Linked DNA regions of Saccharomyces cerevisiae S288C. Each later gene encodes a partner of the first gene's protein in a complex. Each region holds a gene or a part of one and is shown on either strand. Other genes may lie near its edges. A codon is read from its position in the direction of its gene.

Region 1 (4,858 bases):
ATGTCATCTAGCATAGGAGAATGCCATCTCAAGGAGGCGGATGACTTGACCTTATTAATAAAAGCGATACAACCAAAATATAAGTACCGATGAGCGAACATTTCTACGAGCTCATTATTGTGAATTGATATCGGCTTTAAGTGCTTGTGGGTGGTTAATTGGAAGGCACCAAATAGAAATGGAAGGAAATGATAATCATCTAATCCCCAAACACCATGAGAGCCCGCAGGCTCAAGCCAATATTTAGTTTCTAGTATCCTCATTATTTTAAGGTATTCTATAAAAACTTTCAGCACGAGGTTAGTTGAATCGTTTGAAAGATTGAATATTCCATAACTATAGAGTCCATAAAGTAAACACATGAAATTTAATTCATGACCTGAACCATAATCAATTCTTCTTTTATTTCCCCATGATTCATCTAGATAAATCGATAATTGTTCCAACTGCTCATCTGTGAGAGAGGGAAATTCGGAACGTAAGATCTTCCTGGAATTCCGTGAAACTTCGTCATAAAAGTCCCTAAACTCAACCTTACCAAATCTCGAGCTATCTGCATCCTTTATTACTGGGTGCTTCTGAGTGATATCTTTTATTTGCGAAAGCAAGTTCATCATACTGTTTATTGACTCCGATATTGGTTCTTTGTACTGGGAATTCTCATGTCCTTTGACAGATTCAGCCAAATCTATAATAAATTTAGTGAAATGAGCTCTTGTTGGGGATTCTTCCCATAGTTTCATATCGTCTGGAGTCAATAGTCTCTTTTCTGGCAACATCTTTTTCTAAATATTTATATTGTTCTTTACGGATTGTTGTTTATGGACTGTTCTTTCTGCACAGGCGACTAACATAAAGTACCTCTCTCTTGTCATTGATATCCCTTTTGTTCTATCACATCCGTTAGGATTTTATTCTGTGCTTACTCACGTGAAAGAGAGGGAAGAGTGTAAAAGTTACCCGAAAATCTATTATGGCGGCTATTGTAGTACGTCCAAAACAACGTATTTCAATGTAAATTCAAAGCAAACACTGAGAAAAAACAAAAACTTACTTATTGGTTCGCTCAGCACCTACCTAAATGGTACTTTTAGAATGATACTGTATTATCTACCGTGGTATCGGCAACTATAGGACGGAGATAAAGCATGCCAAAGTAATTCTTCCTTTATTAGATGAGATTTCAGCGTGAGGTGAACCATCATTTGTTTGGTTGGTGCATTAATAGCCTGCTTCCTTTTAATTAAGCCGGAAAGTGTTTGTCACAGATGTCAATGAAACGTGCATCTATTAACATATTTATTTTCATTTCGAGGGTGAGGTGGTGTGGACGCGTTGATACGGCAACGGGAGTGACGCGTAAAATTGGCAGAAAAATCATCACCGTGGGTAGACTTGGAAATGAAAACATTTATAGAATAAAGGTACAGGTTGAGAAGATAAAGGGTACCAAAGTTACCATTTTGAAATCTCTGATCAAGAAAAGGTAAGAAAGCAGAAAAGGACGGTAGAGATTATTGGAAGACAAACTAATTTTGTATATGCATTCGATTTTCTTAAGCTTTAAAAGAGAGAATAGTGAGAAAAGATAGTGTTACACAACATCAACTAAAAATGGAAAATATTACACAACCCACACAGCAATCCACGCAGGCTACTCAAAGGTTTTTGATTGAGAAGTTTTCTCAAGAACAGATCGGCGAAAACATTGTGTGCAGGGTCATTTGTACCACGGGTCAAATTCCCATCCGAGATTTGTCAGCTGATATTTCACAAGTGCTTAAGGAAAAACGATCCATAAAGAAAGTTTGGACATTTGGTAGAAACCCAGCCTGTGACTATCATTTAGGAAACATTTCAAGACTGTCAAATAAGCATTTCCAAATACTACTAGGAGAAGACGGTAACCTTTTATTGAATGACATTTCCACTAATGGGACCTGGTTAAATGGGCAAAAAGTCGAGAAGAACAGCAATCAGTTACTGTCTCAAGGTGATGAAATAACCGTTGGTGTAGGCGTGGAATCAGATATTTTATCTCTGGTCATTTTCATAAACGACAAATTTAAGCAGTGCCTCGAGCAGAACAAAGTTGATCGCATAAGATCTAACCTGAAAAATACCTCTAAAATAGCTTCTCCTGGTCTTACATCATCTACTGCATCATCAATGGTGGCCAACAAGACTGGTATTTTTAAGGATTTTTCGATTATTGACGAAGTGGTGGGCCAGGGTGCATTTGCCACAGTAAAGAAAGCCATTGAAAGAACTACTGGGAAAACATTCGCGGTGAAGATTATAAGTAAACGCAAAGTAATAGGCAATATGGATGGTGTGACAAGAGAGTTAGAAGTATTGCAAAAGCTCAATCATCCAAGGATAGTACGATTGAAAGGATTTTATGAAGATACTGAGAGTTATTATATGGTGATGGAGTTCGTTTCTGGTGGTGACTTAATGGATTTTGTTGCTGCTCATGGTGCGGTTGGAGAAGATGCTGGGAGGGAGATATCCAGGCAGATACTCACAGCAATAAAATACATTCACTCTATGGGCATCAGCCATCGTGACCTAAAGCCCGATAATATTCTTATTGAACAAGACGATCCTGTATTGGTAAAGATAACCGACTTTGGTCTGGCAAAAGTACAAGGAAATGGGTCTTTTATGAAAACCTTCTGTGGCACTTTGGCATATGTGGCACCTGAAGTCATCAGAGGTAAAGATACATCCGTATCTCCTGATGAATACGAAGAAAGGAATGAGTACTCTTCGTTAGTGGATATGTGGTCAATGGGATGTCTTGTGTATGTTATCCTAACGGGCCACTTACCTTTTAGTGGTAGCACACAGGACCAATTATATAAACAGATTGGAAGAGGCTCATATCATGAAGGGCCCCTCAAAGATTTCCGGATATCTGAAGAAGCAAGAGATTTCATAGATTCATTGTTACAGGTGGATCCAAATAATAGGTCGACAGCTGCAAAAGCCTTGAATCATCCCTGGATCAAGATGAGTCCATTGGGCTCACAATCATATGGTGATTTTTCACAAATATCCTTATCACAATCGTTGTCGCAGCAGAAATTATTAGAAAATATGGACGATGCTCAATACGAATTTGTCAAAGCGCAAAGGAAATTACAAATGGAGCAACAACTTCAAGAACAGGATCAGGAAGACCAAGATGGAAAAATTCAAGGATTTAAAATACCCGCACACGCCCCTATTCGATATACACAGCCCAAAAGCATTGAAGCAGAAACTAGAGAACAAAAACTTTTACATTCCAATAATACTGAGAATGTCAAGAGCTCAAAGAAAAAGGGTAATGGTAGGTTTTTAACTTTAAAACCATTGCCTGACAGCATTATTCAAGAAAGCCTGGAGATTCAGCAAGGTGTGAATCCATTTTTCATTGGTAGATCCGAGGATTGCAATTGTAAAATTGAAGACAATAGGTTGTCTCGAGTTCATTGCTTCATTTTCAAAAAGAGGCATGCTGTAGGCAAAAGCATGTATGAATCTCCGGCACAAGGTTTAGATGATATTTGGTATTGCCACACCGGAACTAACGTGAGCTATTTAAATAATAACCGCATGATACAGGGTACGAAATTCCTTTTACAAGACGGAGATGAAATCAAGATCATTTGGGATAAAAACAATAAATTTGTCATTGGCTTTAAAGTGGAAATTAACGATACTACAGGTCTGTTTAACGAGGGATTAGGTATGTTACAAGAACAAAGAGTAGTACTTAAGCAAACAGCCGAAGAAAAAGATTTGGTGAAAAAGTTAACCCAGATGATGGCAGCTCAACGTGCAAATCAACCCTCGGCTTCTTCTTCATCAATGTCGGCTAAGAAGCCGCCAGTTAGCGATACAAATAATAACGGCAATAATTCGGTACTAAACGACTTGGTAGAGTCACCGATTAATGCGAATACGGGGAACATTTTGAAGAGAATACATTCGGTAAGTTTATCGCAATCACAAATTGATCCTAGTAAGAAGGTTAAAAGGGCAAAATTGGACCAAACCTCAAAAGGCCCCGAGAATTTGCAATTTTCGTAACCAAGGACAAATACCCATAGAAAATGCTGCCCCTTTTTAAGAGAGAAGATGGTAGATACCAATACTCAGAATTCATCTATTCATAACTTTTTGGGTTTTTATTACATATAGAGTGACGTTTTGATACGATTTACATTTTGAAATATATAGATTTTTGTATATTAATAAGTTTTGATTTTCAGTTTTAGTTATGCTTAATGAATTTTTGAATCAGAAAAAGAAGTTCTGAAAAAAACATAATCCTGCTTGATGTGGTACAACAAGCTCATAAATAATTTTAAAAAGTTTGTTAATCCGTTTTCAATATCTTGAGCTCCTCAATTGTATTTGCTGAGGTCTGATTATTTCTATAACCAAAAGCGGTTATTGAATCTATGGAGAGGCTGTAACCCGTCTTATGCCTTCCGGGTACTATATTTCATTTGCGGGTGTCGATGGATTAAGGGGCGGAGGCGGCCCTTTTTAGGATTTATATAAAAAGCCATACTTCCGTACTTCGTAACCTCTTATCAACTGGTTAAGGGAACAGAGTAAAGAAGTTTGGGTAATTCGCTGCTATTTATTCATTCCACCTTCTTCTTTTTTGAGCGAAGCCTTTATAATCAAATTTTAGTGGTCTTTTCTATTTTTATTTGAGAAGCCTACCACGTAAGGGAAGAATAACAAAAAGTATATCTCACCCTACTGTATTCATAAAAAGTTTTTTCTATTAGAATTCTATAAGAAAAGAAAAAAAAAAAGCCTAGTGACCTAGTATTTAATCCAAATAAAATTCAAA
Region 2 (6,579 bases), on another chromosome or scaffold:
CGATTTTAATATATAACAGAAAACGCCTCAAACCGACTTTGCTTGGAAGAGTTTTCTCTGAATTAGCAACGGAACTTCGAAATGGTTTTAGACAAGCATGCATGGTATGTAGAAACAGTTAAAGAGCGCCGCTACCATTTGCACAGATGTACATATAAATAAATGACTTATTTTTTATATTCTATCAATAATAAGACAATTTGTGGTTGCCTTTAGAAATTTCGTGGCTTTTTTTCATATATTCTAACTTCAATAAAGTTTTTTTGATGCGAAATTTGATCGCTCATATTAAGGACGCCTGAAAAAGACATGCGTCTACATTTTGTGTCATTCCCATAAGAATAGTAAGAACAGGCATTTTTATAAATCGATACAAAAAAAGAGCTACTATACGTACATAAAGTCAGTAAATAATCAAATGTTCCCAATGAAAGATCACTCAGCTCTTGAACAACATACTCTCAGCAGAGATGAGTTAAGACGTCGCAAGGGTTACAAGAAAGGACTGCAGTTGTCAATTTTGTTACTTGGAGAAAAAGGCAGCGGCAAATCAACGTTTTTAAACAATCTGTGCGGTCAGGATATATCGCTTTCTGATGGGGATTATGATGATGATGATGATAAAGTGACAAATAATGTAACACCAGAAAATGGAAACGCCATCGAAGATATAGATCCTGGATATAAAACAGCCCATTTGAGTCCTGGGCTGAAGCTTGTCACCAGAAGAGTGTATTTGAACGATGAACTAGGCGTACCCATAACATTAGATATCATATTGTTTCCAGGCTGCGGTGACAATGTCGACAATTCACAAAGCTCTGTTGTTATAAAAAACTACTTAGACCAACAGTTTGCAAATGTTTTAAAAGAAGAGGTCAGAATAAAGAGAAACACAAAAGAAACTGATGGGAGGCCTCATGTTTGTTTATACTTTCTGAAGAGTACTCCAAGAGGAGTCAAAAAATTTGATATTGAGTTAATGAAAACGATTTGTGATAAAGTTAATTTAATTCCCATTATTCCAAAAGCCGATGGTCTCACAGAAACTGAATTAAATTTACACAAAGACATTGTGCGCCAAGAAATCTCTCAGAACAATATACGTGTTTTTGATTTTAAAAGTGACACCCTAGGCGAAACATTAGCTCTGTACGATATGGACATCGATTCCAGTTCAGCAAAATCCAAATACGATAATGACACGAAGATCAAGGAAATATCGCCATTTGCCATTGTTTGCAGCAAAACTTTTAATAAAAATTCGGAAAATAGGGTTGAGCATATCAGAACGTACGAATGGGGTAGCTTGGTGGTCGAAGACCAAAACACCTCCGATTTTATATACTTAAAAGCAATACTGTTAGGTTCTCACCTTCAGGAATTAAAAGATGTAACAAACAACGTATTGTATGAAAATTATAGGGCTAAAGTGTTAACTGAGAAGAAAAACAACTATGATATTCCAAACTATAGCTATATCGACGAAACCTCAAGGGGAAGTGTCAGCAATGTTTCCACCAGAAGAAATAGTGCAAGTAGAACACTTGGGAATCCAGATACAAACGATGAAAATGCTTATCAAATACACAAAGAAATAGACGAAAAAAACAGAATTATTGAAGACTATCAAAGGAAGATTGATTTATTGGAGAAAATGTTGGCAGCTCCCCATCAAAATAAGGTCTAAATAAATATACGGCCTTGTTAGCGTTAGATACATATGAAATAAAATTTTATTGCTTTTTCAAGTGCACTAAAGTATAAGGCAAAATTTTTTTAATCTATAATATACTTTCTCGATGTGTCTCTATATAACCTTGTGTCTTTCTTATTACTGGCACGGCTTTGAATTTTCAGAGTGCAGTTCTGATTAAACACGCGAGGATTTTTGTTCGTGGATATTTGCAACGATGAGCAATGTGAAGTGAGCAAGATAGAGAAACGCCATAGAAAAGAGCATAGTGAGAAAATCTTCAACATCAGGGCTATGTCAGGCCAGTTAGTTCAATGGAAAAGCTCTCCAGATCGAGTCACCCAAAGCGCTATAAAGGAAGCACTGCATTCTCCCTTGGCTGATGGCGACATGAACGAAATGAATGTTCCCGTTGATCCGTTGGAAAACAAGGTAAATAGCACAAACATAATCGAAGGAAGTCCCAAAGCAAATCCAAATCCTGTCAAGTTTATGAATACAAGTGAGATATTTCAAAAATCTCTGGGATTACTTGACGAGAGTCCAAGACATGATGATGAGTTAAATATTGAAGTAGGAGATAATGATCGACCAAATGCTAACATATTGCATAATGAAAGGACTCCTGACCTTGACCGAATTGCTAACTTTTTCAAAAGCAATCGAACCCCTGGTAAAGAAAATCTTTTGACCAAATATCAAAGCTCCGATCTGGAAGACACTCCTCTGATGTTAAGAAAAAAAATGACTTTTCAAACTCCAACTGATCCATTGGAACAGAAAACCTTCAAAAAGTTGAAGTCAGATACTGGGTTTTGCTATTATGGAGAGCAGAATGATGGAGAAGAAAATGCGTCATTAGAAGTTACAGAGGCGGATGCCACTTTTGTACAGATGGCTGAACGTTCTGCTGATAATTATGACTGTGCATTGGAAGGAATTGTTACACCTAAAAGATATAAAGACGAATTAAGTAAAAGTGGAGGAATGCAAGATGAACGAGTTCAAAAAACTCAAATCATGATATCAGCAGAATCACCTAATTCGATAAGCTCTTATGACAAGAACAAAATTACCGGGAATGGCCGGACCACAAGAAATGTAAACAAGGTTTTTAACAATAACGAAGATAACATAGGAGCTATCGAGGAAAAAAATCCAGTAAAAAAGAAAAGTGAGAACTATTCATCAGATGATCTCAGAGAACGGAACAATCAAATAATACAAAGTAATGAATCAGAGGAGATTAACGAATTGGAAAAGAATCTGAATGTTTCGGGTAGAGAGAATGACGTGAACAATTTAGATATCGATATTAATAGTGCTGTGTCTGGCACCCCTTCACGCAACAATGCGGAAGAAGAAATGTATTCCAGTGAGAGTGTAAACAATCGGGAACCATCCAAGAAGTGGATATTCCGATACTCAAAAGACAAAACGGAAAATAATAGCAATAGATCTACGCAAATAGTCAATAATCCAAGAACACAGGAAATGCCTTTAGATAGTATTTCAATCGATACGCAACCCTTATCTAAAAGTTTCAATACCGAAACAAATAATGAATTAGAGACACAGATAATTGTTTCATCGCTTTCCCAAGGCATATCTGCTCAGAAGGGACCTGTTTTTCATTCTACTGGCCAGACAGAAGAAATAAAAACCCAAATAATAAATTCTCCTGAACAAAATGCTTTGAATGCAACCTTTGAAACTCCCGTTACTCTTTCTCGGATTAATTTTGAACCCATATTGGAAGTTCCTGAGACTAGTTCACCATCTAAGAATACGATGTCAAAACCCTCGAATTCTTCACCTATTCCGAAGGAAAAAGATACATTTAATATACACGAGAGAGAAGTAGAGACAAACAATGTTTTTTCAAACGATATACAAAATTCTTCAAATGCAGCTACCAGAGATGACATTATCATAGCCGGTTCATCTGATTTCAACGAACAAAAGGAAATAACCGATAGAATATACTTACAACTTTCAGGAAAGCAAATATCTGATTCAGGAAGTGATGAAACAGAACGTATGTCCCCAAATGAGCTTGATACGAAAAAGGAAAGTACAATCATGAGCGAGGTTGAACTAACCCAAGAACTGCCTGAAGTTGAAGAGCAGCAAGATCTTCAAACGTCTCCAAAAAAGCTGGTAGTCGAGGAAGAAACTTTAATGGAGATAAAAAAAAGCAAGGGGAACTCACTTCAGCTTCATGATGATAATAAAGAATGCAATTCAGATAAACAAGATGGCACAGAGTCTTTGGATGTAGCTTTGATTGAACACGAAAGCAAAGGACAGAGCTCAGAACTTCAGAAAAACCTCATGCAATTATTTCCAAGTGAGTCACAGGAGATTATTCAGAACCGAAGAACAATAAAGCGACGTCAAAAAGATACAATAGAGATCGGTGAAGAGGAGGAGAACAGAAGCACTAAGACATCACCGACAAAACACCTCAAAAGAAATTCAGATTTGGATGCTGCTTCTATCAAAAGGGAACCGTCTTGCAGCATTACCATACAAACAGGGGAGACAGGTTCGGGCAAAGACTCTAAAGAACAGTCTTACGTGTTTCCTGAAGGTATTAGAACGGCAGATAATAGTTTCTTATCGAAAGACGACATAATTTTTGGAAATGCGGTATGGTGTCAGTATACGTGGAATTACAAATTTTATCCGGGTATTTTATTGGAAGTTGACACTAATCAAGATGGCTGTTGGATTTATTTCGAAACAGGAAGATCGCTAACCAAAGATGAGGACATCTACTACTTAGATATTAGAATAGGGGATGCTGTTACCTTTGATGGAAATGAGTACGTAGTCGTTGGTCTAGAATGTCGTAGCCATGATCTCAACATAATAAGATGTATTCGAGGATATGATACGGTTCATTTGAAAAAAAAAAATGCAAGCGGATTGTTGGGGAAAAGGACGTTAATTAAAGCACTAAGCTCGATCAGTCTTGACCTAAGCGAGTGGGCTAAAAGAGCGAAGATCATATTAGAAGATAATGAGAAAAATAAAGGCGACGCGTATAGGTACTTGAGACATCCCATTAGGGGAAGGAAATCAATGACCAATGTTCTGTCTCCGAAGAAACATACTGATGACGAAAAGGACATAAATACGCATACTGAAGTGTACAATAACGAAATAGAATCGAGCTCCGAAAAGAAGGAAATTGTTAAAAAGGATTCTAGAGACGCATTAGCTGAACATGCAGGAGCGCCAAGCCTGCTTTTTTCTTCTGGTGAAATCAGAACAGGGAATGTATTTGATAAATGTATTTTTGTTTTGACAAGCCTATTCGAAAATAGAGAGGAACTTCGACAGACCATTGAATCGCAAGGCGGCACTGTAATTGAGTCAGGATTTTCCACTTTATTTAACTTCACTCATCCGCTAGCTAAATCTTTAGTCAATAAAGGTAATACAGATAATATTCGAGAATTGGCCTTGAAGCTAGCCTGGAAACCTCATTCCCTATTTGCAGACTGCAGATTTGCTTGCCTAATCACAAAACGGCATTTAAGAAGCTTAAAGTACTTAGAAACTTTGGCGTTGGGGTGGCCTACACTACACTGGAAATTCATAAGTGCATGCATTGAAAAGAAAAGAATAGTACCACATTTAATATACCAATACCTATTACCTTCGGGTGAAAGTTTTCGGTTATCGTTAGATTCTCCATCAAAGGGAGGAATCATTAAATCCAACAATATTTTTTCATTTTATACACAATTCTTACGCGGATCTAATTTAAGAGATCAGATATGTGGAGTGAAGAAAATGTTAAATGACTACATTGTTATTGTTTGGGGTAGATCTGAGTTGGACAGTTTTGTCAAATTTGCTTTTGCATGTTTGAGCGCAGGTAGAATGCTTACAATTGATTTACCCAATATTGATGTAGATGATACAGAGCCATTGTTAAATGCCTTAGATTCTTTAGTACCCAGAATAGGATCAGAATTATCTAATCGAAAGTTAAAGTTTCTCATATATGCTAACGAAAATAATGGTAAATCTCAGATGAAGCTTCTCGAAAGATTGAGAAGTCAAATATCACTGAAATTTAAGAAATTTAATTACATATTTCACACTGAATCTAAAGAATGGCTAATTCAGACAATAATTAACGAGGACACTGGTTTTCACGATGATATTACGGACAATGATATATACAACACTATTTCTGAGGTTAGATGAAATTATAAAAATATATAAACTCATAATTGATAGAAAGGGACGATTAAATAAAAAAAAATTTAGAGATTCTTAATTAAGTCTAAGAACATCCTCCCACACGCCAGGAGTGGTTAATGTTCAAGATTGGTATTAGTTATACACGGTAACCAACAACGTTGGTAAGGTCTTTTTCTTCTATACATGAATTTTAAGATCAAGCATATATTTTAGGCTTGCATCTTGTAATGAACTAACTTTCATAAATAGCTTTTCTTTTTTGTATGAGGTATAAGATGAAAAATGTTAAACATGATACAGGATTTAATATAAAATGGACCAAAATAAGGAGCAATAACGAGATTCACCCCAATGGGTGAGATGAGAAACGCCAAGGTAGTGAAATATTTTTGTGCAACAATTTCAAAGATAAGATCGGTGTTCTCCCGCAGTAGTCCACTTCAGTCGCATGCATGGCTGTTTGATGAGAAATAAAATGAGATATTCAAAATCTCATCAGAAAGAGTTGAGTACTGGGACGACACATATCAGCAACGAGACATAATCGTCAACTGTTTCCCTTTAGATGATTTTCCAAAGTGTGGAAATCACTTGCCATCTTATCTAACATGTGACAATGAATGTAGTTTTCTTTAACATTGGTGAAAAATAACTTGGCAATA

The links.
Region 2: the proteins of RAD53 (region 1) and RAD9 are in contact, whole or in part, in an NMR structure (PDB 1K2N), measured with the Saccharomyces cerevisiae proteins. Residues at the interface, in NP_015172.1 of Saccharomyces cerevisiae: Arg605 (codon at 3,427), Asn616 (codon at 3,460), Arg617 (codon at 3,463), Leu618 (codon at 3,466), Ser619 (codon at 3,469), Arg620 (codon at 3,472), Thr654 (codon at 3,574), Asn655 (codon at 3,577), Ile681 (codon at 3,655), Trp682 (codon at 3,658), Asp683 (codon at 3,661); in NP_010503.1 of Saccharomyces cerevisiae: Val600 (codon at 3,788), Glu601 (codon at 3,791), Leu602 (codon at 3,794), Thr603 (codon at 3,797), Gln604 (codon at 3,800), Glu605 (codon at 3,803), Leu606 (codon at 3,806).

Annotation. Positions count from the first base shown.
Region 1 is NC_001148.4:260,949-265,806, reverse strand, and holds RAD53 (serine/threonine/tyrosine protein kinase RAD53), read left to right. Parts: upstream 1-1,614; coding exon 1,615-4,080; downstream 4,081-4,858. Other genes in the region: peptidylprolyl isomerase RRD2, read right to left, coding at 1-779; YPL152W-A (uncharacterized protein), read right to left, coding at 1,107-1,205. UniProt on the Saccharomyces cerevisiae protein: Controls S-phase checkpoint as well as G1 and G2 DNA damage checkpoints. Phosphorylates proteins on serine, threonine, and tyrosine. Prevents entry into anaphase and mitotic exit after DNA damage via regulation of the Polo kinase CDC5.
Region 2 is NC_001136.10:898,892-905,470, reverse strand, and holds RAD9 (chromatin-binding protein RAD9), read left to right. Parts: upstream 1-1,990; coding exon 1,991-5,920; downstream 5,921-6,579. Other genes in the region: MFB1 (Mfb1p), read left to right, coding at 1-16; septin SPR28, read left to right, coding at 419-1,690; DNA-binding transcription factor ADR1, read right to left, coding at 6,465-6,579. UniProt on the Saccharomyces cerevisiae protein: Essential for cell cycle arrest at the G2 stage following DNA damage by X-irradiation or inactivation of DNA ligase.